3 linked regions of the Neodiprion lecontei genome follow. The protein of the gene in region 1 binds, or shares a complex with, the protein of each later gene. Links are inferred from orthologs where the notes say so. Each region holds a gene or a part of one and is shown in the gene's direction. Other genes may lie near its edges.

Region 1 (9,880 bases):
AATTTATTTCAATTTTAAAATGCATTTGAAATAAAATGATCAATAATAACGCACTAAAATATACCAACCAGACCTCAAGGCTTACTGCTAACAATTAAAAATGCGATAAAACATGAAAAATGAAGTCTCTTTACATGCTTTCTACTTTGCACTACTGCTATGTCTTTTGATCTTCATAGTGTAATATTGTTCGATATCTTATTTAAGTGTAACCAGGATATTCTCGAGTAACATTATTTATCAATAGTGAGTTTCATTGTGAGATAGAATTTATTTTGCTTATGGTATTAGATTATGACCATATCTTAAATAAATAATGCTTAGTCTAGATGGTCAGAATCTAACGAGCTAAGTATACTTCAATTCCAAATAAATGCTACAGTTAAATTACTCACCCTATCACGAACAAACAATTTTACTGGAGGGACTCCAGTGTCTTCAGTTTTCTGATTTTCTACACTACGTAAAAATTCAATCTTCTTCTTGCTGGCAAGAAAATTGATCGAGTCTTCAGCTAATATCATAATAGTATCGGTGAGCTCGTAACTAAGTAGCCAAGTCTGAAAAAGTTCCATGCATCTTTAAATATTTTATAGATATGCGGCATGAAGAACTATTGAAAAGATTGATGTTTCAAGATGTGAAAGATCGAAGACATCAAAATTCTACAAGATTGTAGTTTGCATTGTTGATGCAACAAAACATTGAAGAATAAAGAACCATGTTTTGGAACTTTAGAATTACTTCGAAGGAGTTGAGTTTGCAAAATAGAGATTTTTCTCAACATAGTTTTACATTGACATTATAAACTTTGACTTGATAAAATTCTTTTTATCAGTATACGTAGCCGGATGACAAGATTATGAAAATTGCAGTCAATAACAGACCAGCAAACCAGAGACACCTTTCGTGAAATGATACAAATATCATAAGATCGTTAAATAATGGTTACGATTAATGACGAATTCAAACTATCAATAACGTTAAAAATAGGTCTGGCCAAAATTGAACCTTAAATTGACTATACTGTGCTTCCAAATGCCATGAACTCTAGGTTTCGCCAAATTTATTAATTAAGCAAGAATAATACAATGTTTACAACTTGGATTCAATCGTTTGTTTACATTAATTTTTTGTACACTCTGTAAAACAATTTATGATAGTTATACATCTAGAAATATAGAATGGATAATTGATAAATTTAGTTATATGATCAGTATCATACCTGGAGGGCTGTAGACTTGCTGTATACAATATCTTCGTCAATTCCGACCGCCGACACGAGACTATCCATCTTCGCAAAACTATCATCCGTGCCGGATTCACCATCCTGTATAAGAAGTAGACATGTTTATAAAGGCCAATGTATTAAGTAAAAGTTTTCAAAACGAGACTAACATCGTTATACTCACTTTCCACGCTGCGTATAAGCGTTTTATTCGCCGGAAAAATGTGTCTTTATCAAGAGATACGTTTGCCATGGTACAAAGTTTTTAGGTTGATCTTTGTACACAATAAATTATTATGTGAAGGATGACGTACTCCTTCTGAATTAAGGCGAGAATGATAAGACTTGTTGAAACATTCACGGTACACCGTTCAACTTCAACTCATCACGCATACTTGTGTTACCAAGATTCCAAAATTCCGACGGCACGCTCAAACTCCGACTTCCGATGCGGACATGGCGGGATTACAACCAAAGCCTGAGAGTTTGTATATGAAAGAAGGGGCAGCTTGTATCCCTTCCGAATTTCCGGAAATGTGGTTATGGTGGCTTTTACAGGCGTTTTTCACAGCCCTGTAATATCCGACCGGAACAACCACGGGTATGTTCCGATATACACTGCGAGCACTGTTCAGTGGTCTTACTGGGGAGAAATTCGGTCCATTATTGGGAAATCATCCACTCAGATACGCTACCTGACGGATCAAATATAAACTACTCTATGCAGGTCAAGCTTAAACTGCTGATATCAAATATAATATGTGAGAAATGTAGTTTAAAAGTGTTAAACTTTTTTTTAAATATTAAGTAATCAATTATTATCTATAAGCTTAGTTATTACTTAAAAACATCTTAAATTTCAATATTTGATCAAAAAATTTAATCATGGAGTTTCCACCACGAGAAAATAAAAATAAAACTTTCTGCTGCGTGTATGGGTGTAATAGCAAGTCTAGTAAGAACAATACAGTTCGATTTTACACTTTTCCTTCGGCAAATTCTAGTTTTGTAGTAATCAAAAATAAATTTGGTGAAGATGAAGTAATTGATCGTCGATTAGCTTGGATAAAAGCATTGAAAATTGGGAATGAGGTTACACAGTCAAAAAAAGTGTTTTCATTACATTTCGCCAAAAATGATTTCATACCAACATGTAAGTAATTACCTATAGAATTTCATTTCATAATTACTTGTTTATCATCAATATGAAATGATATTTTTTGTAGTGTAATATTTGTCAGAAAAAATAAAAAACAATAAACATTAAATTTTATTTTCCATTGCAGCCAATGTTGCGATATTGCACCCACAACTTCATGCGGTGGATCTTTTAAACGAGAAGTTTGGAGACAGAATGCAATTATTTTATACTCATTATCACAACTAGTATCTGATTGCTGTAGGCCACATTTCATTAGATGTCCCGCATCAAGTATATCTTTACCACCAATAAAATTTTTATGACTAGGCTGAGTATTTGCAAACTCACAAATTTCTTGTATTGAAATTTTCATATTTTATTGAATTTTTTTTGAAAATTCGAGTTTAATAACTGTAAATAAATACACGCTTTCACATAAGAACACGAAAGCTGATTTAAAAATGCGTTTTAGAATAGTTACTGCTTCTGCCGCAAGGAGAAGCCACGCCCCCGGCAGATTTCCCAATAGGCTGACAGTATACAGTTGCAGTATCCTAGGGAAATAAATGACGTCATAAATCGTCGTCATTTTTCTACTCTGAACACTGGTGTTTTCGAGGTAAGGTGCTATCAGTGCTTTGCTCACGTGATCAACAGCGTTCAGAAATTTAACAGCTTCCACTATTGATAATTATTATTATTGAATATTGTCATTTAAAAATACCGGTCGTTAAAAACAAATATGGAAAATTTGAATAAATTGTGTTTATTGCAGTGTGAAACAAATATGATGTATGAAATGAAAGTAACGCCAAAAAATGTCGATCACAGTATACTGTACTGCGTTCCGTTTAAACAGTAACCAGTATAGCTAACTATAAAGGACCGGCTTCGCAGTATACTAAATTGACGTCACACCTTACAGTGCTCGCAGTGTATGTCGGAACATACCCCACATGTATATGTAGCTCAGTTCGTTTTAGTTACACTTTTCTACACTTTTTTTACACTTACCCTGAATTTAGCCAATGGAAGGTGCCCTTTCCTAAGGAAAGTGTAAAAAGTGTAGAAATTGTAACTAAAACGAACAGAGCTATCAGGTTTGTTCGTGCTAGCTACACTCTACACTCGCGAGTGTAAACAGAACTACGGTAGTGTACTAGGGATTGCTGGGGAGGTACGTCGGCTTCTCGAGTGTAGCTAACACCCGTATTCATAGTCCCTCCTTATCTCAAGGATAAAGGACGCCTTGATGAAGGCTTCATTAAATCTCAGCGGCGTCCTCGTTTCATAGTCACAACTTGGCTCTCCTTTCCAGAAGGAAGACATATTTAGGGATATGTGATTGCTTATGGTGGTAAAACTGCTGATCGAAGCGCCACTCGGCTATATTTAAATATAACTTAATCCGCTTGGCTCTCATTGTCAAGTTGCGTCGGTTGATTTCACGTTTCATAGACCTTCCTCGACAGAGTAGCCGTATTGGCCTCCTTCTTTCAAGGCAGGTCTCGAGCTTCCTTGAGGAAATCTTCGGCACTGCGATTGGCTGTTTCGTTTCATGTAGCCAACGCTTGCGCTTGCGCTTGGCGTCTATGCACTTATGACCCGTATGACGCAGGATCACAGCCAGTCTACAGGTTAACTTCTTTGAGGTTATACACACTCTCATCACCGACGCAACTTGACAATGAGAGCCAAGCAGATTAAGTTAGATTTAAATATAGCCGAGTGGCGCTTCGATCAGCAGTTTTACCACCATAAGCAATCACATATCCCTAAATATGTCTTCTTTCTGGAAGAGAGAGCCAAGTTGTGACTATGAAACGAGGACGCCTCTGAGATTAAGGAAGCCTTCATCAAGGCGTCCTTTATCCTTGAGACAAGGCGGGACTATGAATACGGGTGTTATTATTTATAAATAGAGGTGCGTTCCGAAACTAACTGTTGACAAGCCTTTATTTCTTTTGCGCTGCCGAGTTCGTAAGTAGCTTTGTCTCTGCCCTAGGGGAGTTTTCAGCGCTACCAGCTAATTCCGGAACGCACCTATAAAATATTCCTCACAGCACTGCGAGCTAACGCATCGGAACCACGACTTTACATGTTTGGATCGGAACGTGATCGGAACGCATTCCTGGTGTATACTGAATACGAATTACCTATTTTATTGGTATTCCTATTGGTTAAGAACTAGGCAGCAGAAGTCCTTCCGCGGTATTTTACTGCCCATGAAAATGCAGACTTCGCATGAGAAAACGCCACGAAGTAATGAAAACGCTATCAAATGACAGCACAAGAAATCATAATAATGAAATAAACCGAACGCTTTGCCCGCCATTTTAATTGATCGTAGTAAATCTGTTATCACCCACATCCATGGTTATTACCTGTTCAGTCGATTCAGATTCTCTCTGCCTTGTGTGTGTCGGTCAATCGTAAATTTGTGAAGAAGCAAGTGCTTGTTTATTCGATCAGTATAAAAGAAGCAATATTTGTAAAATAGTGCGCAGAAGGCTGTAAGCCATGGATTCAATTCCACGAACCCACGAAGGTAGGTTTTGCAAATTAGACTTCACGCTAGCCGAGGCATGACCTGAGCTGAGAATGTTGAATTGATAACGTCGCGCCGACGAAGCTTGACAATATATTGTATTGTATTACTGATGATGCACACTTTCATTTCTTTGCATATTTTCGCCGAATATTTACACTCCCGGCACACACCTAAATAAGCAATATATCCTCTGTAAGAAAGTCAGCCGACATACACACAACACACCTTAAACAGTTGACGGTTATAATTGGTATATAGTTTTTAATAGTTGTATTACAGTCGTACACCGTTATGACCTTTTACATGCATTACAGACATCGAAGCTCAGATCCGTGAAATACAATCGAAAAAGGAGATACAGAATAAAGAGCTGACTGAAAAAGAGCAAGTAGGGTTGGGAAAGACTGGATTCTATGATCAGGACATATACGATGGTAGCAACAACAAATACGATGGTTATGTCACCTCTATTGCAGCTAATGACGAGGTTGAGGTAAATATCTATGTTTATTCGCAAAAACGGATTGCCAAACAAAATTGAAATAGTTTAGGTTGAATGGGGATAATGAAGAATTGAAATAATCAGGTATACGTAAGTCTGATCAAAATATTCTTTTCAGGATGAAGATTATGAACCAAGTACATTTAGTCAAAGCAAGAGGCCAGGCTACAATGCTCCGGCAGCGCTGCTTAATGATGTTGCTCAGGTAAATAATGGTTTACTGAAAATTCGAATGCCAGACCGTCAAAACTTGCAGTATAAGTAAACGAGTTTTGCTTTTGTCTCAGGAGGTCCAACAGGATTGTAAAAATTGTTCATTTTGTAACTATAGAGAAACTGTCCGTTTAAGATTTGAAATTGATCTATTTCATAAGTTTTCCGATACATTCCATTTGCCAAATTTATGGAGAGGCGGCGCAAAAGGGTTGGGGTCAATGAGGGGGTTATGTAACATCAGTCATATTGAAATAGTTGGAATTACTTAAATTGCAGGACCAAAGATGATACTTCCATTTATTTCAAAATGTGACTAATTTTTCATTTCCTGTATGACTACTCGTATTTAATTTCAATAACAAGTGTTATCTAATTATCAATATTTTTCACAATATTCCACAACCTGTTAAGAATGTTTCCTCTCCAATCTGATTTTTTTTTTAATTCATAGGGGTTTCCGCAATCGCTTAGAAGCACCTAATTCTACAAGGTTGAAATTCGTAATGTAAATGTAACAATTACACTTTGTAAAAACCATTAATTATAACTAGGGTTGTCGGAAATTCGGCCAACTATAACAATGCAGAAAACACTCATATTCTTCAAACTCAACTCTTGAAGTTATTTTAATATTGTAAAATAGTGACTTCGTGTTCATTGTTCTATTACATTGGCATTATAGTCGAACCTAGATATATGGCCTTGTCATGGGGCCCGAGAAGAGAAAAAATTCTCTATGAAAAAACTAAAACTAAGGGTTCCTCTTACAATCAAACTAAATCACATCATGCTATTTCTCCTTTAAAATCCATGATTATATTTAACAGCTGAATAATTTTTTCTTCAAAAGTATTCCTTTTTTTAGTTACGCATACCATGTCATTGAACATCTTTTTTCTTTAGTTATTGAATATTTGAGTTTTGCGAATATACTTTTTTTTCTATTAAATATTCACATGAACAGATTTCATCAGTTTGTATAGTACCAAAAAAAAAAATAAGAAATCTAAAAATATCAAGACTGTACAACTGTTTCACAATCCATAACTAAAAAATGATGTTCTGGATATGCTCCGTCTCCATGCATGCTTTCAAAATAAGATTTAGTCATTAATAAAGATATCACTATCTTGTAATATTGAAAAGACTTGAAACAGTTGAGTTCTCACAACAAGAGTATGATTTGCTTTATTGTGGCTTACTTAATTTCAGACAATGCCAAAGTTATGAAATAATAATTTATCCTGAAGGTTCATTGTTACATGATCGTTATCAACTTTAACTTCATCTTTGAGACACTGTCTCCAAGTGTGGCAGTTTTGCAGTGTAGTTGGATACTTCATCTGACTTCAAGTTTTTGGGAAAGTCATTTTAAGATACCATGTCATTCCTGATCGATACTTTTTACAATATCAATAAATTAAATGTTGTAATCCTGTTAAATATTAAGTAATGGTTATGTAATCACTTTCAGAATTTGAAAACTGAAAATATGAAGATATCAATGTTGACATTCATATGAAAAATTGCGGTATTAATCTACAAATGGAAATTTAGCATCTTATCAAAGTTGAGCTTACCTGGGAAAAATGTTTTCATATGATCAGAGAAAGTTCTATGAAATTATATCTAGAATTTGACCTGATGAAAATATATAAAACTATATGCATGTGATTTCACGTGATTTTGTATAATTTTATCTAAGTTAATATTTTCAAATTTGCGTTATAATTTCACATGAATTTATCTGATTATATAAAAACATTTATTCCCAGGTAGATAGAAAGTGATAGTTCAGTTTAATAACGATGCTCTTGAAAATTCAATTTACACCCATTAATATTATCTAATTGTAAGACCCGGATTTGCAGATTGCCATGTAAACATCATATCTAGACCAAGCATTATGTTTAGAAATTTTTTTACATTTCCTGGAAATATCTGTATTTCTCAAGGAATATTTCTTACATTTCAGTAGATACTCTGTCTTGCTTTATTTGATCATCTCCTCGTTGAGTGCTGAGAGTATATTGATACATTGAGATTATTGTAATTTGTATCACATAAACCTCCCTTCAGTTTGCCTTTTTGAAATAGATTTTTTGCTCATTTTGAATAGAGTGAAAAGGACTATGATCCGTTTGCTGATAGACGACGACCGACAATTGCGGATAGAGAAGATGAGTACAGGCAAAAGCGACGACGCATGATCATCTCACCAGAACGTGTCGATCCATTCGCTGAAGGTTGGTAGTATTTTTTGTAAGGCTATAAATTACATTTTAAGTACACTGCAGGTGATTTATATTTATACATTCTATACCCATAAGTACATCATACAACAATTTTATTTTTGTGACTTCATTTTCCAATATATTTTTTAATGCATCCCCTCATTTATTTACTTAATCAGATGTCTCAAGACTAATGCATACGGTTTACACAACCGTGAAGTCAACAATTGATCGGGTTTTGCAGAATTGTTCATTGATGGAAATGTAACATTTTTTTACATCTTACGCAAATTTGTCAGGCATCATAACTATCAGATAATTGAGTGGGTGGATTTAATACTTTAGCGTGCGTCGCTTCATTTACGTGCTTTCATTGAATACTGCTTGGTCGAGTTTAATTAATTTATCACTTTCACATTGCTATTGTTCGTACCTTTCATCATCATATGATAATTTGGGCAATTTCAAATCTTGTTGAAACTTGAAAATCCTTTTTCTGGTTGATGATGTACCATTGAATAAAAATGGGCCTATCTGTTTTCAAGCATGAAGATATTATCCAAAACTACAATCTGCGGCGTGTGACAGTAGGTTAATCAACTTTGACATTTCTTGCCAATAAATGTTTGGGAAAAAACAAAATAATGTCGAAGACCACAAGATCCCATGTTTGGAATCGTGCAGTAGCAATTAGATTTTGGATATTTCTTGCATGGATATAATTTGTATTACAAAGGATAACTGAATTATTTCATTTCAACAAAGTCAACCTTATCTCTGGAATAGTGAAAAGTCTTTCATTAGACTGTTCAATACCATCTTGAGGTTCCATGCATGTGTTGCTACATGACTAGTTGTGCTTTGGCTATTTAATGAAATCAAACAGGAAAATTGGCATTTGTATTTGAAGAGTCAGTTAAATCTTGAAGTCAAATTTGATATTACCAATTGACTTTCACAGAAGAAAGCAATGCATTCCTCTTTACGACCAACCGAAGGGATCTTGCGAATTCAATGAGTACGAAACATCTGTAAAGATACAATAAAATTGTAAGGGGTTTGAATGGAATGAGCGAGTGAGTTTCTTGAAAATACATACTAATGTAAACATTTTTTTCCAATCTTAGTGACGGTCTGCACATTTGGAATCATCTACTTACCCAGGATACTATGTCGAAGGTTAAACGACATTAAGTCGTCGCCATTTTTAAAGATTGTCTGTTTCAATAAAAGATATGATGAAACTTTTTTTTAAGACATGCAACAAAATTTTAGTGAATAGTTATATAAAATACTGAAGTTGGTACACTTTAGATAACTTGGAAAAGTACCAAATTTTTTCTGTTCACCTACATGGACTAGATAGTTTTAGATAATGTTCTAAATCCTGAAAGTCAGTACATTTGTGACAATCTGAATATAAATTTATCAAATCGTAACTTCTACTACATAGACTGCGAACTTACGCAACTACATTGTAATCTGTATCACGCTTCATTTTCATGTCTGTTTATTCTCTATGTTACTTGTTTTCTTTCCAACTTCCTTTTCATAATAGAGAATCTGTTCTTCTATATTAGTTAAAATAGTTTATCTCTATCGTTTTTTTTTTTTTCAGTTTTTTGTATCATCACAAAACTGCATGATTTAGTTTGAAAAGTTTCATCATATGTTACAGGCTGTACGGAGTCTTACATAGATTCTGACACATTCGATATCCCTAGAAATTTTACGACTCACGATGTTGGATGAATACCGTTAGCATTGCCGGCCACCCGCCGCAGACTCTGCTTGGCTTCTGCTCGGGCCTAAGCGCGCGGCCGGTAGTGCAAACGGTGTTCAATCAACACTGTGAGTCGTAAAATTCCTAGGGATATCGAACATGTCAGAATTTATCTAAGTCTCTGTACATAAGAATATTCAGTCAAATAGAATGAGTGGTCTGAATGCAAATATTATTAATAACGAGAATGAGTTGATTTTTAGATGGCTAAAGTATTTTACGATG
Region 2 (9,346 bases), on another chromosome or scaffold:
GATTCTGTCCGAAGCTACTGAAACGAAAGCTGCGCGCTGCGCCTGAGCGTTTGATTTTACTACGAGGAGACCTCCAATTAGCCACGATCGTGTAATCGCGCTTCGGCTTTATATTCCCAGCTCACGGATTAGCCGTGACGGTTCGGAGCCGACGCACGGTATGCGACATTAGTTCAGGTAGGCGAGCTGAATGTATCCAGCGAAGTTGAAGGTGTAAGACTTCCCGTAGCTGGCTAACGCGGAGTGTTTATCGCGGTGCGGGCCGTCAACGGGCCGAGGAAGAAGGTACGGGTACGCGGATGTATGGGACGACAGCTGGCTGTTGCTTACCCGGATCCCCATTACGAGAGGCCTCGAGGATTGGAATCGAGTTCCGAGAGCAGCGGATCGAGCCTCCGCCTTACGATCAGCGCTGCAGTGTCGGGCGACGCGGGCGCTTTTTAATAACCGGGATCATCGCCGCGGCGCGGCCGCGAGTATTTCTCGCAAGATAATACGCACACCCGTGCTTTTAATACAACCGTACTAATTAAATCGATAAAGACAAGCGGTATCTATCGCGGTTACGATTCGCCACAGATGGAAGGAACGCAGGGCTCGATGAGGATCGGTCCAGGTAGACCGGCAATACGCTTTTACCGCTCTCTAGCTGCAGCTTCGCCCTCGGTTTTGCTCGTCTCTCGATCCGGCCCGGCTCGGCTCGGCGCAGCGCGGGGTTCCTCGGTTAGGGATAGAATCTGAGAGGGGGGAGGGAAGGGAGGCGGGTAAGGTCGGCGCGTTTGATCTCCGCCGCGGGCGCCGACAAAGCGTCCGTCCTTTCGTCCGTCGGTCGGTCGGTCCGTCCGTCCGTCCGTCCATGCGTCCGTCGCTCCGCTCGGCTCCGCGCGCCTCACCCGGTGGGCAGGAGAGAGTCGGCGGCGTCGGCGTCGGCGTCGGCACTCGGGCGGGACGCTGGCAGTCGTGGCCCCCCGTCACTGCGTCATGCCCGCTTCAGCGCGCGGACCTCCTCGGGTACCCGATGCCAGTTGCCACTCCCTGCCGGTGCGCACCGAGTTAACTTTGCTATTAATAAATAACTTTGAAGCCCGTACACACATGGCTACGCAACCCACTACTTTCAGAAGCTGAAAGTTCGAACTTTGCATTTATCAAGCTGCACGCCGCCGCTGCCACTTATTTTTCGCTCCCGATTCACCCCTTCCAGAGACTCATTTACTTACAGACGAGACTTCCGCTTCGTTGCCGGAAAACTACTCGCTAAACTCGTACACTTGCGCGAATACCGTTACACATGCATATGCATACCATACGTGCTCGGGGATAGAGTCGCGCGATAGTTTTATTCGCGAGTTATACCTGTTTACGTGTATATGCACGCACTGCAGGGCATATAAGGATTTACAACACTTCCTTGAAGAAATATTACGACGGGCAGATACATTCATTCGCCTTATACTGTTCGAAGAAATACGGACGTTGCAGGAGGACCACTGGCGTTGAATCGCGTTACGTCAGCGGTCCCATCGGGTTTTGGTTTTGTCTGAAACGGATGGACGAGGCCTTCGCATAGTGCGGACGTTTCATTTCGTGGAACGGTATCTCGTTACGTAAATCGTAGAAGCGAAACTTGAGTACCTGAATTGTTCGCAGCCGGCGAGCCTCGATACTTCAATCATTATGTTTATTGTTTGCAGTTATATCCTTTGACACGAGCGCACTCGTTCATTCATCGATTCGTTCGCCCCTTCTCTTACTCCCCCAACCGCAACTTCCACAGGGACCAGGCATCACTGACACTTCCCGGTGCCATAGCGCGTGTGCAGCTCAGGATCCATACACACGGATCGCATAATGCGATAACAGCAAAAACTTGGAACGGCCGAACGAATTGCATGTGCGTGGAACAGCTGTAGCTATACGAGCGTGGCAGCGCTTGGGAACTTGTGTCCAAACGAAAACTATTTTCACCGAAGGATCTTACGACGTCTCATTGTCGGTCGAGTATTATTGAATGAATACTGTGTCCACAACTGTATATCATAAAGTGAATTTGTTGTAATGGTATGGATATAGATATATGTATATAGCTATGTCGGTATATCTTACAGGTATATATGCGAACAATGGTAGACGTTCTCGATAACGCAACAATATGGCTATGATAAGTGATAATCCTACGACGTATTTGTACGACGATAAATCAGAGTAAACATACGACCTTGAACGTGGAAGTACCTACATTGCCCACGATTCTCTTCTGGTTGCTATCAGTCATTCCTTCCACTATCGGAAGAATGAAATGGCAAAGGAAAATAAATGATCTTCTGCATAATCTGCAATCATGTGTATTATATGTTGCTGAGTAATAAAATTATGGTCTTAAAAATGCAATGAATTGATGGTTCGAGAATTTTTTAAGGCTTTCTTTATTTTGTGTTTTCTTCCTCCCTTTTAAAAATCAGATTGTCTCCAGAAAAATCTCATCGTCAATTTACAGACAGTAGGCGAGGTTTAGTTTGATTTAAATAAAAGTTTAATTTTCACTTCGCATGATCTGGAGTTATTGAGTGGCTGTACACATTGGTGACTGTTTCAGAGTCACGTACGCGTGCAACCCGTTGGCAATTTGAAATACAGGTTTTAGCTGGCTCTTAGTTCTATGATAAGTTAATGAGATGGTTGACCCATGTTCCAACGACTAGTCGTCGTAGTTTTTCTCGTTAAAAATGCTTTCATTGGTTTTAATATGTTACGACAGTTTTATAACCGTAATCAGCTATAGGGCTTGCGTATAAAAACGACCCCCCATTAAGAAGGGGAGATCAAAGTTAGAATATAATTATATCGATGTCCAAGTATCTTCCCATGCATGTATGAACGTAGTTATTACAGGACAAGAGTAACGTAAGTGGGAGAGTAAATTCCTGTGGTTTAATCAAAACACTAGAGATCTGTACGTTACTTATTTCGGACTGGCTAGAAAAAGGCACTTGTTCAATTAGATTTTGATACATTTAATGCATTCAGCGAGTATCGCATAGCGCGTTGGTTTCACTTTTCCAAATTGAACGTTAAAAATTTGGGGTGATCATTATCAACATTACGACTACAAAATTACCTGAAATTCTGTACAAGCAATTGCAGCGTAGCGTCATCCGGCGGATGATATTCACACGAAGGTACCCCAGACCACAGAGTTGATAGAGAGAGCCTACTCTAGCGTTTTGTGTGGCCTCCATTTTTAAGCGTCATCCGACACAAACTAGGTTTTTGAAACTACATTTCGACGTAGTTGCATGTTACCGACTCGTATTCTACTATACTTGCCATCACGCAAGCGGTAGATGTAAAGAGCCTCTTTGCTCGGAAGCTTCGGAACCTTCGGAAGCAAGTCTTGATCGGCCGGAAGCGCCATGCGAACTTCGCGCAACGCGACCGAATTTGTTGAATTTCCGGAGCAAGTTGCGTCAGGCGCACGATCCAAGAAAGACTTACATCGTGGTCAGGCGTGAATATGAATTCTCTGACAACTTTTCGCCGAATACGATGTGTCTAAAAATAAACGATAAATGAGAAAGAAATGGCAAACCTTGTCTTTTCTCACTGTACGAACTTTGGATTGAAACTAATAAGATAATGTTAACGATAACGCATCTGTACATAATTTGATATGTAAGCAGTGGTGTTCGTAAATGTAGATGTTGTAATTTTTGCGGAGCGATAGTTACTTTTTGGAACGATTTTATGAATATATTGGTTAAAGAAGTACCTAACTTTATCAAAGGAATGAATCGTTATTGCTACCTAGATTCAGTCCTTCGAGGTCGATGTATTAGTAGATGATAGATAAGATTTTACACTAAATTATGAGCTTACAAAGATTGTATATTATTTCTTCCTGCTGCAGAAATACTAAGTGATAATGTTTGCGATTTGTTCAGTTTCGTTACCACTACTGTGACACTCTGCTATGGTAAATATGCCCTGCCTTATCCACTGCTCAGATGATGCTAAATACGGCAGAGTCGGTCATCAGTATATGTGGCGCCCTGTATTTATCGACTTGCTTTATCTGGTAAGGGCTGGTAAACGCATCGATATGCACGATTCCATTCAGTTATATTCAATGGTTGTTCTTGCAAGAACTGTGAATCGTGCTACAGACTAGTGCAGACTGAATGATTGAAGGTTATATTTGACATGTCAACAACATCCACGTTGAAATAGTACAAAAATGTCATTGTACGATGATTTTGATAAGCACCGAACAACAGAAAAAGTCGCAGGGTGGTCATCGGGTATTAAACTATTACAGTCCCAGCTGCAATTAAAAAAAGCGGCAACTACACAGGTAATATTTCACTTAACCGCTACTTTGTAAGTACATTCAATAATTCAAAACGTTTTACCGTTATCGAAAACTTTCGAAAATTTCGTTTCAAAAAAACATTTCAGTTTCAAGATTTATTTATTCCGTGCCGGGAATATGAAAATAAAACATTCGCATTTACTTCTAAATTGAAGACTAATATCAAGAACAATTTTTTATAGCCAAAAAGAGAACAGTTCAGAAAAGCTGCGGCAGTTTTGGCACCTGTGATTGACTTGAAATCAAAGGTTAACCGCGATGGCGAGAAAGACGAAGATTCACAAACAGGAAATTCTCTTACCCTTAGTGGTACAAATAATGTCGGAGTCGGAGGCGAGTTTGATTGGAACGTAGTAAATGAATATGACCCAATGTGGCCAAACGAGTACGAAAAAGTCGTCAAGGAATTACGTGATATTCGGGACAGAGAACACGACCAGGAAAATGAATTACGCAAACGCAGACGCGACACTACCAGATTTGAAGATCCACAGGTATGGGAATCGAGTTTTTCAATTTTCATTGTTTTACTGGTATCGCTAAGTCGTTGGATTTTTGTTTCAAATAAGCAATATTGTGGCTGGCAATTTTATATGTCAAAGTTAGAAAGCTCTTTCTTCTCTATTGTCGTCTTAACTGAATACTAGTTTAGATCATGAAGAATATCCAACATATTTAAGCAGTTTGTGTACAGATTGTTCCAAGCCATTGAATGTAACAACAATCATGCTTTCTTCAATATACATAATTAAATGATCCCAATTTAGACTTCCCCTGGCAGCAACACAATGGTCGCACCAGAAAGAGACGAGGAAAGAACACCAACTTCGAGAGGAGTGGGCGGTGGCGCAGCTATAGCACCTCCCCCATCCCTTCAAGAGGCACCAGATCTAGCACCTCCTCCACCTCCAGCACGACCTCAGGCATCGAATCTTGGCTACGGTGCTTCCTCCGTAGCTGCAAAGATCATGGCAAAATATGGCTTCAAAGAAGGCCAGGGTCTTGGTAAAAAGGAACAGGGAATGTCTGTTGCTTTACAAGTAGAAAAAACCAGCAAACGTGGTGGTAGGATAGTTGGCGAAAGAGAACAATTGATGCCTCCTCCACCACCCATGGTACCTTCGCCACCACTACCTGTCGCCCCTGTTCCACAACCTGTGGTTCCTCAGGAGGAGCCAAGCATTACAGAGATTATGAAATCACCAAGCAAGGTTATTATAGTAGTGCCATGCGTAGAAGTCTGCGCAAAATTATTTGCCTTTAGTACAGGTCTATTTTGTTTCTCTTTAGTTAAATGACATGATCTTAAACAGGCATACGAATCTCAAACCTTGTTCAACTGGCTGTGAAATTTCACCATGCCCGTTTTGCTTTTTACGTTTCCCACTAAGTCTGGGTATATGAGTATTATCAGTCATGTGAATTTTTTTTTCAAAAGGTGGTACTCTTACGAAATATGGTTGGACCAGGTGAGGTGGATGAAGATCTTGAGCCAGAAGTCAAGGACGAGTGTAACACAAAGTATGGGGATGTATCGCGTGTTATGATTCACGAGGTGATGGACGTCCCGGCTGAAGAGGCAGTGCGTATATTTGTAGAGTTTAAGAGGATAGAAAGTGCGATCAAAGCTGTAGTAGACTTAAACGGTCGCTTCTTTGGCGGAAGACAAGTTAGAGCTGGATTTTATTCCTGTGAAAAATTGGACACCTTGCAATTGATGGACTAAACTTGAAATACATGAATTTTTTTTAAATGTGCGCCGTTGGTGAATAATAAAATACTGTCAATTAAAATTGAGTTGAATCATTTTCATCGTAATTGCTACCTGTTTATTCGGCTGATGATTATTGCACTGCATTTAACAGTAGGTTTTAGCAATCGTGGTTTCTTATCGTAGACTTCCAATTTTGGTTGTTTGGATTGATAGGCAATTGTAATTTTGAATCATACGAAATACACGAATATTTCGATTTGAGTTTCTACTTATCTATTATGTTAAATTCATACAGGGTAATTTCATCACGAAATATACAGACGTTCATGATTTTCTCTACATTCGAAGGCCGTGAGATTGATTAGTGAGTAAAAATACCCTAAACATGATGTGTATATAGGCATTTTCATTACTACAGATTTCTTTAATGGGGTGATAATCATTGTATTTAGTTTTGGAATGCAAATCCAAATTATAAAATGCAGTTGATCAGAAGTTAGTTAGTTCAAACATATTGTAACGCTTTTATTCTTCATACATAATCGCAGTTAATAATTGTTTGTAAAATAATGTATTTGATATACTTCCCTGTAACTGGGGTAATTCAAGCACAGTTTTCGTTGGTGAGCGTCGTGATATGTAGGAACAGATCGTTTGAAATATAGAATTATGCTGTTACAGCCATAGCTTCGATAACATCAATGAGATGCTATGCACAACCTAGAGGTGGACTATTCAGTCGTGAACACACTTCTTTAAGTAGATTTTTTAGAATGGCTGCCTGATTACTCGAGTCCTTGAAAAAAAATATACAAGATGGATGACAGATAAAGGATGATCAGGAAATTGTACTGACACCGATATCAACAAAGATTATGCATGAAATTTAATAATTCTTAGATTGCATAATCTTAGATAAAAACTATTTCTAAGATACTTATCTTACCTTGTCGAGCGTAATAGTGGGTATGAATACCACTTTGGGAGACAAGTCATCTGTCATTTCCCCAAACTTGGCCAATAGCTCTTTCCCTTTTGTCCCCTTATAACATTTCTCTATAGGTGTGACATCTAGGTTAACCTTGGCAGCACATTGATGCATAACTCGTTCAGGTTGCATGTTGTCTTGGATCATGCAAGAAATATAATCGAGCTGTATTAACTGATCATTGACTAGATCAATAACACAGGCATGTATGATATTTGCCTCACACTCGAGTGGCCCATGTTGGCACGTAAATTCGTACCCAGTGGGAGTTTCGACTGTCTGAAAGAGGAAAGAATTAAAACTTGAATAATCAAAAGATTGAATTCTAACATATGGGGATAAGCAGAATAGCCCGACTTACCTTGGCTTTGCCATATGGTATGAGTTCTACCTGCAGGTTCTCCTTTATCTTTTGAAATGTTGGCAATAGCTGTTTGACTACAAAAAATTTTGAATCTGGACAAAGGGCTTCATAATACACGGAGACCAGCACCTTCTGTACATCCGTCTTTGGCGGCTCGGCTATATCTATTCCTTCGACTAGCTCTTGGGCCGCCAGTGATTTTGCTGCAGAAGACTTAATGCGTGTTCAAGCAGGTTTAAGCAAAACAAAATCTTTAACTATGATTTCAAGATTCACTAAAATCAACAAGAGGTAAAAAACCTCATCTGAGAAAGTTGGCTGGTGGTGGTTTAACCATTTAACTATGTTCAATACTAAAATTGGGGCTCGAATTGCCAAGCGTTGCTTTGCATGAACCCTAGTTTATGCTCGGTTCGAATAGGTAAGGTTATGTTCCAGTAGTGCTTACCTGGGAAGGATCATCGCTGAATTGGAGAGACGGCCAATATTTGGCTGACTGGTACAAAACGAGAGCAGTGCAAAGTAATATTATTAGACGGTATCGAAAGCTTCCGAGTCCCATTTTAAATAATAATAAAAGAAACACTTTCTACTGCGATAGACAAAGCGGTCACATACGCAAACTTGGAATGACGGGATTGTTTATTTAATTAATTTTACACAGAGATAAAGTTAGCTTCTCATATTTAATACGGCTGAGCTTGTATTAGTTAATCTTGCGTCGCATGTTTAATCGAAACCTTATGGTTTCGCAAACTCATTGCGTACGCAAGGGTTTATTTCGAAACCAATATGGCGGCGTCGATTTCGATATCTACCGATAATCGATATCACCCTTGTTGATGCAATCTAATAGTACGATTGGCGTGATAATATATCATATATTTAATTCACCAATACAAACACTCGCTCCATACTTTGATTAACTCAGTTTTGTATCAAGTTTGAGTCTGCTTGAATGCCTATTGAAATGAAATGAAAATTACCCAAGTATGACCGTTATCTATTTGCGCAGGAAATATTATCTTAGTAATTATATGCTAATCACTTGTTTCTATTAGACTATTGCATATTGTTTTCCTCCGTAATTCACGACCAAACATGTAACGAAATTAGGAAATGTGAAAAATATAAAAAATTATAAATTCATAGCTAAATTCTACTGCAATTTTAAATATCCGTTTCAGTCGTTTGCTTCTCGCATAATCATTACAAGACAATGGCACCTAAGGAAGACAAAAATCAGGATAAGAATAAAAAAGACGTAGATAAAGGCAAAAAGAAAACGGGGAAAGGAAAAGACAAAGATGTTAAAAGAAAAAGATGCGGGCCGTAAGTGCGCGCCCATCTACCTTTTACTAAGGAATTAAGTCGTTGAGACGTTGAAATATGGATACAAAATTTTAAACTAAATTTTCCATAACTCCGATCTTATCGGCGTTATTTTTCCTCATTCTCAGACCAATGTCTACCGGTACGGTTATGGCACAGAGAGTTTTACCACCAACGGTTTGTTGTCCACCCGCCGGATGCGCACCCAGAGGTTGTCTCTCAGGTCCAGGTTGCGGAAGATGTTAAATTTATTTGACAAGAATGATTCATGGCACGATTTGGCTTCGTGTCAATTATGCACCTGAACTGGGTGAAAGAATCTGCTACAAATATGAAAGATTAAATATTGTAAAACTAATAAAACTTGTAACCACAATTCAATCCTGCACGTTCTTGCTTAAGAATCATTGGTAGTCCGCGGTTTCTTATTTAAACATTCATGCTTCCATATTAATTACATATTATGCACATCGTGATATTACACCGCCTGTATTTTTATTCCTTGATTATATAAGGTACTTAATCCCGACAAGCAGATACTCAAAAATATGACGTAGACAATGGTATCTCCGTAGAATC
Region 3 (12,831 bases), on another chromosome or scaffold:
CTTATTTCACGAATATTAAGTATTAATATAAACATTGGTACTGTTTATTAGGCAATATGCGTAGTCTACTGTTTTGGTATGTAATTTTTATAACAGCTGCAACAAATAGCTAAGTAGAAACAGCGGTTTGTTCATTCAGTATTCTAGCTATACTGACCATAACTTTTTCTTCAGCTTCTTCTAGTGCAGTGATGGCTTTCGAATTACGAATCTTAGGATTAGCTCCATGTCTAACTAACAATTCAACAAGTTTTGCATTGCCTGTCCTGGAAGCTAAATGGAGCGGAGTGTCTCCAAAATTATCCTTAACATTGACATCGCATTCTCCGCTATTTAAAAGTATTTTTGTTACAGCAAGTCGACCATTTAAACATGCGAAATGCAACGGGGTTTGCCCTCTGGACTTTGTTTTAAAACCAAGCTTTGCACCTGCGTCTAACAGTAACTGAACAAACTCTGCACGACCAGTTGCGCTGGCAATATGCAAAGCAGTCTGGCCATCACCACCCCGACTATTTATTCCTAAGGCAGGCTTCCGCTGATGTTCCTCGGGAACTTCTTCTATCAAAGTACACTGTTCACAGTTACAAAGTGGGTGGCACATCGCAGGTGCTGTAGTTTGTACAAGCTTCTGATCAGGTCCCTCTAAGCCGAGATAGTAGTAAGCCAGTCTAAGATCACCTACAGAAATTGCTGACAAGAGTCTTTCAATTCTGCGAAGTCTCTCTGTGGAATAAGGTGGCTCAAATTGCTTTTCGGTTTTCAACGACTGCGTCATCGCCGGTGAAGATTGGGTTGGCACCAGGCGAGGTGTCGAAAAAAATTCTCTGTGCGCCGCAGTTTCCAATAACTTAGAGATGCTAGTACTGTGTGCTAGCACCAACGGAGTTTGGCCTCTTCTGTTAACAGCTCTGGGTTGCGCTCCGTGTTCCAGAAGGATTTCCACTATTCCAGTATAGCCCCATTTTGAGGAGTAATGAAGCGGCGTGTCTCCGTTAGTGTTTGATGAATTTGGATCTATCGGGCATTTAGTGTGCTCCAAAAAGTATAAGATTGCCTTGACACAGGCTTCGTGACCATTATCAGCCGCTAAATGGAGGACAGTGTTCCCGTGAGCATCTGTGATTCTCGGGTCGGCATCAGCATGAAGTAATAAGAGTAATGTATTCTGGTGTCCTCTGGCAGCTGAACAGTGCAAAGCAGTAGTACCATCCGCATCAACTTCATCAACATTACTTCCGTGACTTATAAGCAAGTCCACCATGTTAGCCTGACCGTATAAAGCTGCGATATGAAGGGCCGTTAATCCTCTGTCATCTCTGGAATTAACGGTAGGTAAACTGAACCTTGCGTCCCTGGCTAAACTTTTTTCGCACGATTCACAGCAGCATAAAGGATGACATAGCTTAACATTTGGCGGTCTAATTTTATCTATAGTTTCCTTAGACAGTATTCTCTCAACTTCTGACGTATTTCCGTGTTTTACTTGGTCAAAAAAATGACTGATTGATACTTCATCCACTCTGTTTTCTTCCAGCTCGTCTTTACCAGACACGTATTCATACGTGCCGTCTGCCTCAGGGTGGACTGATCCTGTCAACATTCCAGATTTGATATGCTCAATGGCTGCCTCAAGAGAAGTAACCAAAAAGCCAGCTTCATCAGTTTCATATTCTGAGGTCGATGAAAACCTAAACTGTTTTATAAACGTTAGCTGAGCTATCCAATTAGGCAGACCCGCTCTTATCACCAAGAATATAAGAACTGGAAGCAAATCGTCTGATGAAACTGAACTCTCACCTTGTGATGCAAAGTGAACCGCACGTTTAAGGCAGCCTATTTTTCCCAGAACCGTTGCGAAACCATCGAGCCTTGCCAGCTCCAATTTTCCTCTAACTGCGCCGCCGTAAAGATCAGATCTGACGCCCAGGTCCCGTAGTTGCAATTCGTGCAGGTTTTTAATCGTTTTATTAAGACACGCATCATCAAAGGCGGTGCAAGCGGAAACATATTTTGGTAAGAGGTTCCTCAACCCGTAAAGAACATATGTTTCCACCGCGACTTTTATACCGTTGAGAAAATGCCTACTGGCAGTTGTTTTCTCCCTCAATCTCGAATCCCTGAGAACAATGCGAAGGCTTTTCGCGTACAAACCAGCAACAAGATCACGCTGAGTTTGCAACGGTTTATCTTCAAGCTGATCCTGGTCAGTTTGTTGATATTCTTTAACCGCATTATCCAGCTCTTCGAGCACCTCCTTGTTCAATATCTCCGTCCAGAGAAAATCTACGCATTCTCTGAGATTTGTCAAAGTGGGCAGGGACTCGTACGAAGTGATAGAACTTCGCTCCAGAATCCGCTCGACACACCATATTCGATACTTCTGTGAATCTTCGGTATAGAAGGTTTCCTCGAATAATATATGCGCTGTGCATGGCTTTGCGATATCGTAATCTACAGTTAGGACCCTGTTGCATAGCCTCACTTCCTTGCCAGTCAATGTTCGGAAGTGAGTAGCTGGCAGCTCTTCGCTTGGTACCAAAATGTGTCCGAGGAAGTCGTCGGCCAGGAGAGAGCCTCGGGAAAAGCTGCCTGAACGAGGAACGCAAATGACCCAACCCTCGTTTACCGCCTTTTCAAATACACTCGTGTACTCATGCTGCAATTGTTGAAAAAATATATTCACGTTCAGATCCTCGTCGTAATTTGATTCCATATCTTTTATATGATCCCATGCGTTTGTCGCTGATGATGAGGTGTCTCGATTTTTAACGAAATATAAATTGCTGTGCAAAGAATATGGGAAAAATATCTTGTTACGACATTTATTCGATTTACGTCGAGGTTGCTTTCGACGCCAAAGGCCTAAAGGCACAGGAACGTCAAAAAAGTGCGAAAATAAGGTTAATACACAACGGCACATCAATGAAATTTATTTTATTCTTCGAATCCGTACACTTTTCGACAAAAGTATCGACTCTCCTTCACGTATTTCTTTCATTGCGTTTTATCGCTTTCGATTATAAATAATTGTTATTGTAATTTTTCTGCTTTGGCTGCTGTCAACGGTTACTTATCAACGACTTTTTGCCTTGTCTTATTTTATTTCTTATTTTTTTTTTAATATTGTTCACCAGTCGATAATTGACGCCTCTAACCCATACTGTTGCAAATCGAATCCAACAGATGGCAAGAGAGAAAAATATTTACAATCGGATAGATTGCATCAAAATGCATCGCTTTCGTATTGTTCTTTTTTTTTTTTAATTACTTGTTTTTTATTTTAACCTTCATTTTTAGAACTATTTAACGCGATGGATTATTAGAAACACGCAGACATCATAAATATAGTATTATATTGTAGTTTTATGTTTATTTGTAATATAATCTGCTATTAGTTATGTCGATATACGCTCAACAAGATTGCTTTAGACTTCTACGAATTTGTAAGTTGGGAATATTTTTTATCAGTTTATTTTGCGTTAGATACTTATTTTCTTTCCTATTATATACAAGCGACTTACGCAGCAGCTGCATGGTGATGTGTAAATTAAATTATATTACAGGACTCTGTGAGTGATCCAAATTGCTGGATTTTTCTCATTCAAAATTTTTCCCCCGTAATAAAAAATTATAATTTGACCAGCCAATCGCGAGCCGTAAAATATAACGCGAATATGTAATATTATGATTTTTTTTCATTTAACGTAAAAAGTACGATACTGCAGAAAAAATCCGATGATGGTTATAATAAGGTCGAGTTGAAAGGAGGCTCAACATTTCTTTCATTATAATTTTCCAATACTATCAGATAGGTAGCTGTTATTGTGATATTACGATCTAGTTTGGATAATTGTGAATTCGGCGCGTTGCTTCTGCGTGCATAATTATCAATCTAAAACAGGAAATAGTTATATATGCCATGCGCCCCATGCTTGATATAACTTGCACATTTTTCTGCAAATATTTTTGGAAATAGTTGCGATTCTTTATAATATCTTTAAATATCCCAGTAATTATATAAATTTTCAATCATTGGATAATAATTACTATTATCTCAATGATGTTTATTGACCGAATCAATTTTGCCGGCCATTTTGGCGTCTACAGAAGTTTCGTCGCTCGATAACTCTCGAAAATCGAAAACTGTTCACTTCCGTCATCTGGCTGCTCGCTACGCCGATATTCCGATTCTAAAATAAGGTGTCACCCGTCGTGTTACGCATAGTGAATAATTGTGATATTCATTGTTGTGAATAGTATCGCTGTTTACGGTTTTTCACAATGGGAGAGGACTTCAATGGAGGTGAGAATATCGTCCCTAAATCAAATACATATTCAGACCCCGTACTAACCTCCTCGGCGGTGGTCTCCTGGCGGTTTCTGCAACCTTATAATAAGATTCAGTAATGGCGGCAGCGTCTATTACACCGAGTAAACACACGGATCTTATTTCGCAACGTATACTTACATTCCAACCTTTCAACGATTTGCACCGTACGAAATTCGAAACTTAAATGGAATCTGATAAGCCTTCGAGCCGCCTTTCGCTGTCGGGATGAATTCCATGTTTGGCCCTATTATACTGGCAATCATCGTGGGCAGGGTTCTAAAATCTCGTCACAGTCACAATGTCATTTATTTCAGTTGTTAACAAGCCAGAAAGGTTCACTAGCCCTCGACTAGCGGTAATTTTTTCTTGACACTATTATTGTAAACTAATCTACTTGGTTATGATCCCTTGTACGAAAATTACTCTATACATTGTTTTTTTTTTTTTGGCCAATTTGCATTTGAAGTATTCATTTCGGAGAAATATGTTATGGCTTGGGTAGCGATGTTTGAATTTGAATTTCAAGGAACAATCCGATACTTGATAATTGTTTCATTTATTCGTTCCCTTTCTTTTTCTAAAATAAGTTGAAAACAATGTGTCTGCTTCCTTTAGTAAATAATTCCAAGATTAGATTAAGTTCAGAAATTATTAAGGTAACAACATTTATGGTAAAAGTAGATAAGGCTAAAATTAGTTGAGAAATGACTTGGGCAACAACATTCATGTCAAGAAAAAAAAAAAAATTAAACTTTAAATAATTCTATTATCATGACATGTGTACTGAGAATAGAAATAATAAAGCATGGATATCATTTTATTCACCAGAAGAGTCATTTGCAGATCGCGAGCGTCAGGAAAGAGGACCAGATAGAGAAAAGGAGAGGGAAAGAGACAGAGATAGGAGACACAGATCTAGGAGTCGGGACCGTAGGAAGCGGTCACGGTCTCGTTCAAAAGATCGTCGTGACAGAAAACGGAGCAGCTCACCTAAAAAGGGTCGCAGTTCTCGCAGGAGAAAACCCTCTCTTTATTGGGATGTTCCGCCACCAGGTTTCGAACACATCACGCCATTACAGGTGATACAGTAATATAAAATTGTTTGTGGTTTTTGACAATTCGAACGCCATTAGTTTCAATTTCAAAGCTTAGATTGATTCCAAATCTTATTCAATCTTTTTGTTTTTTATAGTACAAAGCTATGCAAGCTGCAGGACAAATTCCAGCGAACATTGTAGCTGATACCCCTCAGGCAGCAGTACCTGTTGTGGGCAGCACAATAACACGTCAGGCTAGGAGACTTTATGTCGGAAACATTCCATTCGGAGTTACAGAAGAGGAAATGATGGAGTTTTTCAACCAGCAGATGCATCTTTCCGGCCTTGCACAGGCTGCTGGAAATCCCGTACTTGCCTGCCAGATCAATCTTGATAAAAATTTTGCTTTCCTTGAGGTATTTACTCCGCATTTACTGGCTTTGACTAAATTGATTCTACCGAACCACTATGTCATTTGATGTATATTTCTTACAGTTCCGGTCCATTGATGAAACGACACAAGCAATGGCTTTCGACGGCATTAATTTCAAAGGACAAAGTTTGAAAATAAGGAGGCCGCACGATTACCAGCCGATGCCTGGCATGACAGATAACCCTAGCATGAACGTGCCAGGTACGATTCCTGGTATGTGCTTCTGGTCAGATGTAATGGCACGTCAGAAATTGAGCACAACTTTTTTGGTCACATGGAGAACTTCTTTCTTTTTACAGATTCACCACACAAGATTTTCATTGGCGGTTTGCCCAACTACTTGAACGAGGAACAGGTATGTCAGCCAGATGTTTTAAGTACAAACTCAATATTTACTTGTTTGGGTTCATTATCATTTATTATCTGTGCATATTACGTGGGATGCTAATTTTTTCATCAATTTTTGTGGAGAACGTTGGTTATTGCTTTGTGCAAACATATTTTTTTTTCTCGTTTGCTTTTGGAAAATTAATGTTGTAAGTTAGTCGCTTTAAACATAGCTCTTTCTCAGCTTTTAAGATTCAATGTGAAACTGATGAACTAACATACCGAATGCAAAGAAATTTTCAAATTGCTATTCCTCGAATCATGATAAGACGGTAAACGCAAAATCCAGACTTGAAACATCCCCGTAATATTATTTGAAATATTTTTTAGTGAACACTGGTGGGGGTTTGAGGATCGGTATCGTTTCAGCAAATAAATGCATATTACGATATCGTTTCTCACCGCTACAAGTGAGAAGAAATCATTAAATTGTAAACTAGGTATTTAGCGATCTGGCAGAGACTCTGCGTACAACACCCGTGTGTGAGATTCCTGAGAGGTATGTATTGTTCCGATTTCAGCGTCGTTTAGGGTCGTTTAGCTAGCATAGAAATGTAGGGGTTCATTTTTCATTTTGCCTCTTCTACGAGATTTCGAATGAAGTTACGCCTGTGTATTTTTGTCCATCCAGGAAACTCATTTACCTTCGCATTTAATCAATTTTCCGCGAATTTCGAAATCAGATAAGACTGTACTTGAAAGGTGTGTGCAAAGATTGTCGATGTGCAAAAGATTTTTTGATTCATTCAAAATATCGAGTATTAAGCATGTCGTACAATTAGGGCAAAGAGGCTAGTGGCGTTACAGCTTTTAGGTGGCACGCTGTCGCAGTGACGTTTTTCTTTTACAGCCTTTCTAGGTACATTCATTCGTTCGTACGGTGGATCCAGCCGATTGTAATTTTTATCCTAAGGATTTAGACATTTTTTTTTTTTTTTTCTATCGAAGGAAATGGTCAAACTGAAGCTGGCAGGGCGGGCAGGGGGGTCATTTCAGCCATCTCAACACGTCTGGATATTCAATTGTAACAAAACAAAATGAATAATTGCTTTAAATTCTTATTTGCAAAAAAGGAAACTCTACAAAATGTTTATTCACAAGGTGAATGAGATGAAGGGAGAAATGGTACAATGTTGGTCATATAACTTGCTTTCCTTTCTGAATCGTATATTTTTTGTTTTTTTGCTCATAAGCTAAAGTTGGAAGCAATTCAATTCTGGTATTTTGTTAGAATTTCATGTCCGGCTGTTGAATATTTTTTTTTTTTTAGGTCTGCGGGAGAAATGAGTGGACAGTCCATAGAGAATTGGGTATTTTTTTGGGTGGGTTTACAGGTATTTTTTTAGGTGCATCTGGTTATGACTACAGATTTTTATCCAGTATCATATATTTCAGGAATACTTTTTTTTCCTTCCTATTGCAGCTGTTTTCTTTACAGGCACGTTCTACGTATTTCAGGCATTCAACTTTTACAGGCCAATAATTGTATATTAAACGAAACTAATGTTTCTTTTCATGATAAAGTAAGGATTTAAAAAGTCAAAAAAAGTGTCTTGTTAAATTTATGATGAAAAGCATAACAGTGATCTTATAACCGTAACATAACAAAAGAAAAAGTACAAGAAATCAACAACAAAAATGAAAATCGTTTGGAAACATAAAGAAAATGTGGACTGATACCAGTGCTCTTTCTCCCCATTTCTTAGCTTAGGGTCGTGCCGATCAAAAGCATTCGCTTACCACTACCACTACTTCTACCACTACCACTACCACTTCTACTACTACTACTGAACATGACAAAATACTACACTTGCCGGAGTGCGGGTAGTCTGGTTTCTTGAGGCAAGTATTCATATCAGTTTGCTTGTTTTCACATTTTGGAAAGAGACTTTTGCAGCCACTTGGACGGCGACCGTTAAATGGCTTCTGAATTTGGTGCGTATCTTAGATTTTTAAGAGTTTCACGATGACAGCACGTGATCCATACTTGTCAGACCTGGCTTTGGCCTCTATGTACAAATGTGTATGGAATTTAACTTTGCGCATCTTTGGATGTGACAGTTATTTTTTTTGTATGAAAAGAGATGACTTACTTGGTTGAAATTGTATAATTTACTGATACAAGTTTAACGTGCTGTTATCAACAAAAAAAAAAACTACAACGTTTCCAGTGTCTCTGACAAAATGTCAACACTGTAAGTAGACAAAAGGTATAGTAGTGCGCATTAGTGCAGTATACAACCCACGATTCTGTATTTTTATGTGTATATGCATATTAATACATTTATCACAAACCCTCACCTTAACGCACTTCGTGTTGCATTTGGTACAAACTTTATATTCAAGAGTTTGTATTTCATGTATCGAAATGCGTTATCGTCTCATGTACAAATTTTATCCATATCATTTAATTACGTTTAAAAATAGATAGACGAGCACATTGGCGTGCTAAACATTCAACATTCCTCACATTCATTTTTTTAATGATTATTTCGAAATGCAAACTTTGTTAAAACAAAACATTGAAATAGTCGATTTATTTCTCTCAGTGGAAACGAAAATCCCTATTCAATTTATTTTCTACAAGTGTTTGCGTGTAGTTAATAGATTGTAACGATACGCGATTTCCATTTAAATTGGTTTAACAATCAGCAATAAATTCCTCCTTTTTGTTACTTGAACAATAAACTTTTTCCATCACAATTTATTTGTAATTATCTTAATAGTATATGATACATCATCAGTAAATATAAGTATATTGTGACATTTATGAAAGCAATGAAAGTAAACAGAACACTTGCTGGGGCTAGTGGTTGTAGATGATCTTAAAAAATTGCACAAGAAAGGAACAGGTGAACAACATAGATTATAGATCGATTCTTCAATTCTTTTTATAAATAAACAATATACGCGAAAAAAAGTAGATTGCTATTGTACCAGATTCTTGCCATTGATATACGAAGTATTTGAATATTCATAATCATGATAGAGCCAATTTTGTTTCTTTTTTTGCGTTCAATTCGATTCGTTGATATCTGCTGAGAATATGCCAGACTTTGACAAAAAAAAGTGAGCAAAATCGTTATGTTTCAAAATAGACATTCCACTTTCAAATTTAATCAGGATACCTCGGAATTAATACTTGAAATGATTGATAATGAAATAACAGGTGAAGGAACTGCTGATGAGCTTTGGACAACTCCGGGCATTCAACTTGGTGAAGGATTCAGCTACAGGATTATCGAAAGGATACGCGTTTTGCGAGTACGTTGATGTCACGATGACCGATCAAGCTATAGCTGGGCTCAATGGGATGCAGCTTGGGGATAAAAAACTTATTGTACAACGGGCCAGCGTCGGAGCTAAGAATCCAATGATCGGCGCTCAGGCTCCAGTTCAAATTCAAGTTCCTGGTCTCTCGATGGTTGGCACTAGCGGTCCAGCTACCGAGGTACAGGGGACATTTGTTTTTTTGAAGAAGTTCTCTTTTTGTCGTGATCGTCAGACCAAATTGAACCTTTACTTGAACTACTTCAATAAAATTTTTCTAGGTGTTATGCTTACTCAATATGGTAACACCTGAGGAATTAATGGAAGAGGAGGAGTATGAAGATATTCTTGAAGACATCAAGGAGGAGTGCAACAAATATGGAGTCGTTCGGTCAGTAGAAATTCCTAGGCCCATCGAAGGCGTTGATGTTCCTGGATGTGGAAAGGTTCGGCGTTTTATCAATATTTATGCAATTATTTACAGCATGATGAATCGTTCTCCGAATTTCATCGATTAACTGCCATATTGTCTGTAAAACTATGTCTAATCAATGATTAACTTTGTTCCAGGTTTTTGTTGAGTTCAACAGCGTGATAGACTGTCAAAAGGCACAGCAAACGTTGACTGGACGAAAGTTCAACAATCGAGTCGTTGTAACGTCCTATTTTGACCCTGACAAGTACCATCGCCGAGAATTTTAAATATATACGAGTTCCATTCCTCGTAACAGTCAATAAATAATCAGAAATTGAACGCAATTGTCATTGTAGCAAAAATTTTGTCTACTTGTATGTTATTCGTTAATTGATATGCTTTTAACTATGATCAAGTGCTACTAAATCAGTGTATTGATATTATTTTTAAAGTATTCTTAGTTTCCCACTTTTCAAATGATTAGAAGAAGTTGTATCTCATTTAAATTTAACATTTTTTTTTTCTTTCTATGCTGGACCATCCATTGGGCGTTTCCCTTTTTTTTTAAATATCTCTCTGCTTTTGCTCTCTCTTCTTGTGAATCATATACAAAAGCAACATTACTACGGTAAATATGGCTATGGCTAACAGAATCAGTACCTTGCGCGATAACATGAGATTAAACGTTGCCTTCGATATTTCCCTCTTCTTAGTTTTATATAATTATCAAAGGCAAAGTTTGTGCTTACGTGACAATGGTCTATTGACGATTTTCAAGACGTATCCAGCGTTCTTCACAACGGAGTAACAATTATCTACTAATTATCACGAGCTTTGAGAGCAATTCATTTAATATTGAAGCAAATACGAGCAGAACTCTTATAATAATATTGTTTCTTTGTGAGTCGCAAAATTGTCGTTTCGTGCTTTAATTTAATACGGGCACAAGGTACGGTCTCTTTTTTATGGCTTCCTTGTGATCTGTACGGAAATCAGCGGTTACCTTTCCGTATGAATATAAGGTCATTTGTTTTTCATAATAATTTCTTTCAAGTGCAACCAATGCTCTTGAGAGTTGAATATTTGCTTCAGCAAGTCGACAAATAATGATTGATTGAACATTATTTATAATGAATAATTAATACCTATGTGTCCCCGAAAAGTAGGGGCAAAATCTTGCGCAAAATATGTTATTTATTTAATATATACATGATTTATGGTGAATTTTATTAATATGCCATGCATTATTATTTGCAAATTAATACAATTGGTAGAATATATTACCTAGATTTTGTCGCTACTGCCTAAAGTATAGGCTAACGTCCAATCAGTATAAATAAAATTAAAAGAAAAAAAATAATGACTACATTGAAACAAAGAATCCTAATTTTTCGCTCTTTATTGGCAAAGACATACATGTAAATATAAATATAATATAGAAAGGGTATAAATAAAATTTGTATCATCTTGAGTGGGAATAACAAGTTTTTTGTTTTATTGTATGATGTTTAATCACAACGCCACAGAGACGTAATGGAGAATTTTTTAGATCGGATTCCAAAAAAAAAATTTTTGTTTCTTCGCCTATAAGAATAACATTATATTGACGTAAAATTAAATGTATCAAGACGATGTAATAAATGGGTGATTATTTGAGTGTGTTAGTAGAAATTAAATTTCTTGTTGCAACGCAGGCTGGTAAGAACTGTCTGTATCCACGCTGTCCACTACCAGCCTTTTTAGCAGGCCGTAAAAACCAGCACCGATAATCAGCATTCCAATACCGGTCATCAAAACTATTGACCAAGCTGGAATTGCGGTGCCTCCTGAAATATGATCAGAGTTTAGTTTTCAATTGTATTTTTCTATAAAAAACGTAAAACTTGTCGTGATTGTTTGTATTTTAATTTACTTACTGTAGTAACGTCTGGTTATTGTTTTACGTCCTCTGAGAATTTTACGCCTTGCTTCAACTTCTTCCATGAACATTCCCATGATCACTGTATTACATGAGGAGATCAAACGTGTAGATTAATGGATGAATAATGATTTATTGATATCGAGTGAAATACTTAGTTAGCATTTTTGCGAGGTATATTTTTGATTTTACTTCGTTAGGACGAAGTTTGAGGACGTGAAATTGTACAATTTTTATTCTAATGTGACTGTAATTCGCAAAATGAGAATAACTGCAACAAAATATCAAACAACATTGGATCATTGCAAGATATTCGGTAGTTTCATTAGAACATGAAGAAGAATTGACCCACAGCTAGTTTTCCGTTGACGAAGAAGCAATACATTGCCTTGCTATCTTTTACATTCAATAGCACTTTGTACAATTTTAAAAAAATTGTTACATTGATCGGACAAAATTGTTCAGCGTATAAGTATCTTAGGAGTAATCCTAAGTAATATAGAGTAATTTTGCTTATATATATAAATTATATAAATTATCGCAGTGATAAACTTACATAGACCAATGGCAAAGTAGTACAAAATACTTTTGGCACGCATTTTTTATGATTTTTCTTTTCACTTTTCACTATTAAACTCTACACGAATTGCACACAATCCAGCGTTGAAGGCTGCTTCTCACCGAATGTAGCACGCCTCTTTTTACCAAAGATAGCCTCATGAATCAACAGATAAGAGATACCGGTAATCAAGTATTTTATCTGGCTGACACATCCAGATAAGTTATTCTACAGTGGTGTGTGAGAGAGGTGTTGTGATTCTACGTAGATTTCGAAACTGTGCGTATGTGTTTCAAAGATTCCGCTGCATGCGAGCGATTGGAAAAGAAGTCATACATGTATATTCTATATACTCATCTACTTTTTATATTGCCAACATTGACGATATGCATTGTGATGAATCGCATAAGTGACTTTTTAGCTGTCAACTAGTCTGATCAGGGGTGACAGCCGGAAAACTAAGATAATTCTTCGCATCT

The links.
Region 2: the proteins of splicing factor 3B subunit 1 (region 1) and splicing factor 45 are in contact, whole or in part, in a crystal structure (PDB 2PEH), measured with the Homo sapiens proteins. The link is inferred for Neodiprion lecontei from reciprocal best matches to the Homo sapiens genes SF3B1 and RBM17. Residues at the interface, in NP_036565.2 of Homo sapiens: Arg334, Ser336, Arg337, Trp338, Asp339, Glu340, Thr341, Pro342; in NP_001139019.1 of Homo sapiens: Leu309, Met312, Val313, Asp319, Asp321, Leu322, Glu325, Thr326, Glu329, Leu372, Arg375, Tyr376, Phe377, Gly378, Gly379, Val382.
Region 3: the proteins of splicing factor 3B subunit 1 (region 1) and splicing factor U2AF 50 kDa subunit are in contact, whole or in part, in a crystal structure (PDB 7SN6), measured with the Homo sapiens proteins. The link is inferred for Neodiprion lecontei from reciprocal best matches to the Homo sapiens genes SF3B1 and U2AF2. Residues at the interface, in NP_036565.2 of Homo sapiens: Ser336, Arg337, Trp338, Asp339, Thr341, Pro342, Ala343, Met346; in NP_009210.1 of Homo sapiens: Met383, Glu388, Glu394, Glu397, Ile398, Asp401, Val402, Glu405, Gln447, Gly448, Leu449, Thr450, Gly451, Arg452, Lys453, Phe454, Ala455, Val459.

The regions. Positions count from the first base shown.
Region 1 is NC_060262.1:17,194,757-17,204,636, forward strand, and holds the start of splicing factor 3B subunit 1, read left to right. Parts: upstream 1-4,666; 5' UTR 4,667-4,889; coding exon 4,890-4,917; intron 4,918-5,234; coding exon 5,235-5,413; intron 5,414-5,540; coding exon 5,541-5,627; intron 5,628-7,757; coding exon 7,758-7,884; intron 7,885-7,906; exon of another isoform or gene 7,907-9,051; intron 9,052-9,459; exon of another isoform or gene 9,460-9,880. Other genes in the region: FACT complex subunit spt16, read right to left, coding at 396-560, 1,226-1,330, 1,413-1,481. UniProt on the Homo sapiens protein: Component of the 17S U2 SnRNP complex of the spliceosome, a large ribonucleoprotein complex that removes introns from transcribed pre-mRNAs.
Region 2 is NC_060260.1:29,029,155-29,038,500, forward strand, and holds splicing factor 45, read left to right. Parts: upstream 1-4,090; 5' UTR 4,091-4,234; coding exon 4,235-4,351; intron 4,352-4,551; coding exon 4,552-4,863; intron 4,864-5,136; coding exon 5,137-5,580; intron 5,581-5,807; coding exon 5,808-6,095; 3' UTR 6,096-6,162; downstream 6,163-9,346. Other genes in the region: gamma-interferon-inducible lysosomal thiol reductase, read right to left, coding at 6,793-6,879, 7,030-7,350, 7,433-7,648, 7,884-7,997. UniProt on the Homo sapiens protein: Splice factor that binds to the single-stranded 3'AG at the exon/intron border and promotes its utilization in the second catalytic step. Involved in the regulation of alternative splicing and the utilization of cryptic splice sites.
Region 3 is NC_060261.1:3,588,647-3,601,477, forward strand, and holds splicing factor U2AF 50 kDa subunit, read left to right. Parts: upstream 1-4,147; 5' UTR 4,148-4,284; coding exon 4,285-4,306; intron 4,307-4,394; exon of another isoform or gene 4,395-4,409; coding exon of another isoform or gene 4,410-4,434; intron 4,435-5,161; coding exon 5,162-5,412; intron 5,413-5,525; coding exon 5,526-5,786; intron 5,787-5,865; coding exon 5,866-6,016; intron 6,017-6,102; coding exon 6,103-6,158; intron 6,159-6,711; coding exon of another isoform or gene 6,712-6,735; exon of another isoform or gene 6,736-7,890; intron 7,891-9,359; coding exon 9,360-9,641; intron 9,642-9,741; coding exon 9,742-9,906; intron 9,907-10,030; coding exon 10,031-10,162; 3' UTR 10,163-11,431; downstream 11,432-12,831. Other genes in the region: ankyrin repeat domain-containing protein 27-like, read right to left, coding at 110-2,923; uncharacterized protein LOC107224427, read right to left, coding at 11,547-11,701, 11,792-11,875, 12,350-12,392. UniProt on the Homo sapiens protein: Plays a role in pre-mRNA splicing and 3'-end processing. By recruiting PRPF19 and the PRP19C/Prp19 complex/NTC/Nineteen complex to the RNA polymerase II C-terminal domain (CTD), and thereby pre-mRNA, may couple transcription to splicing.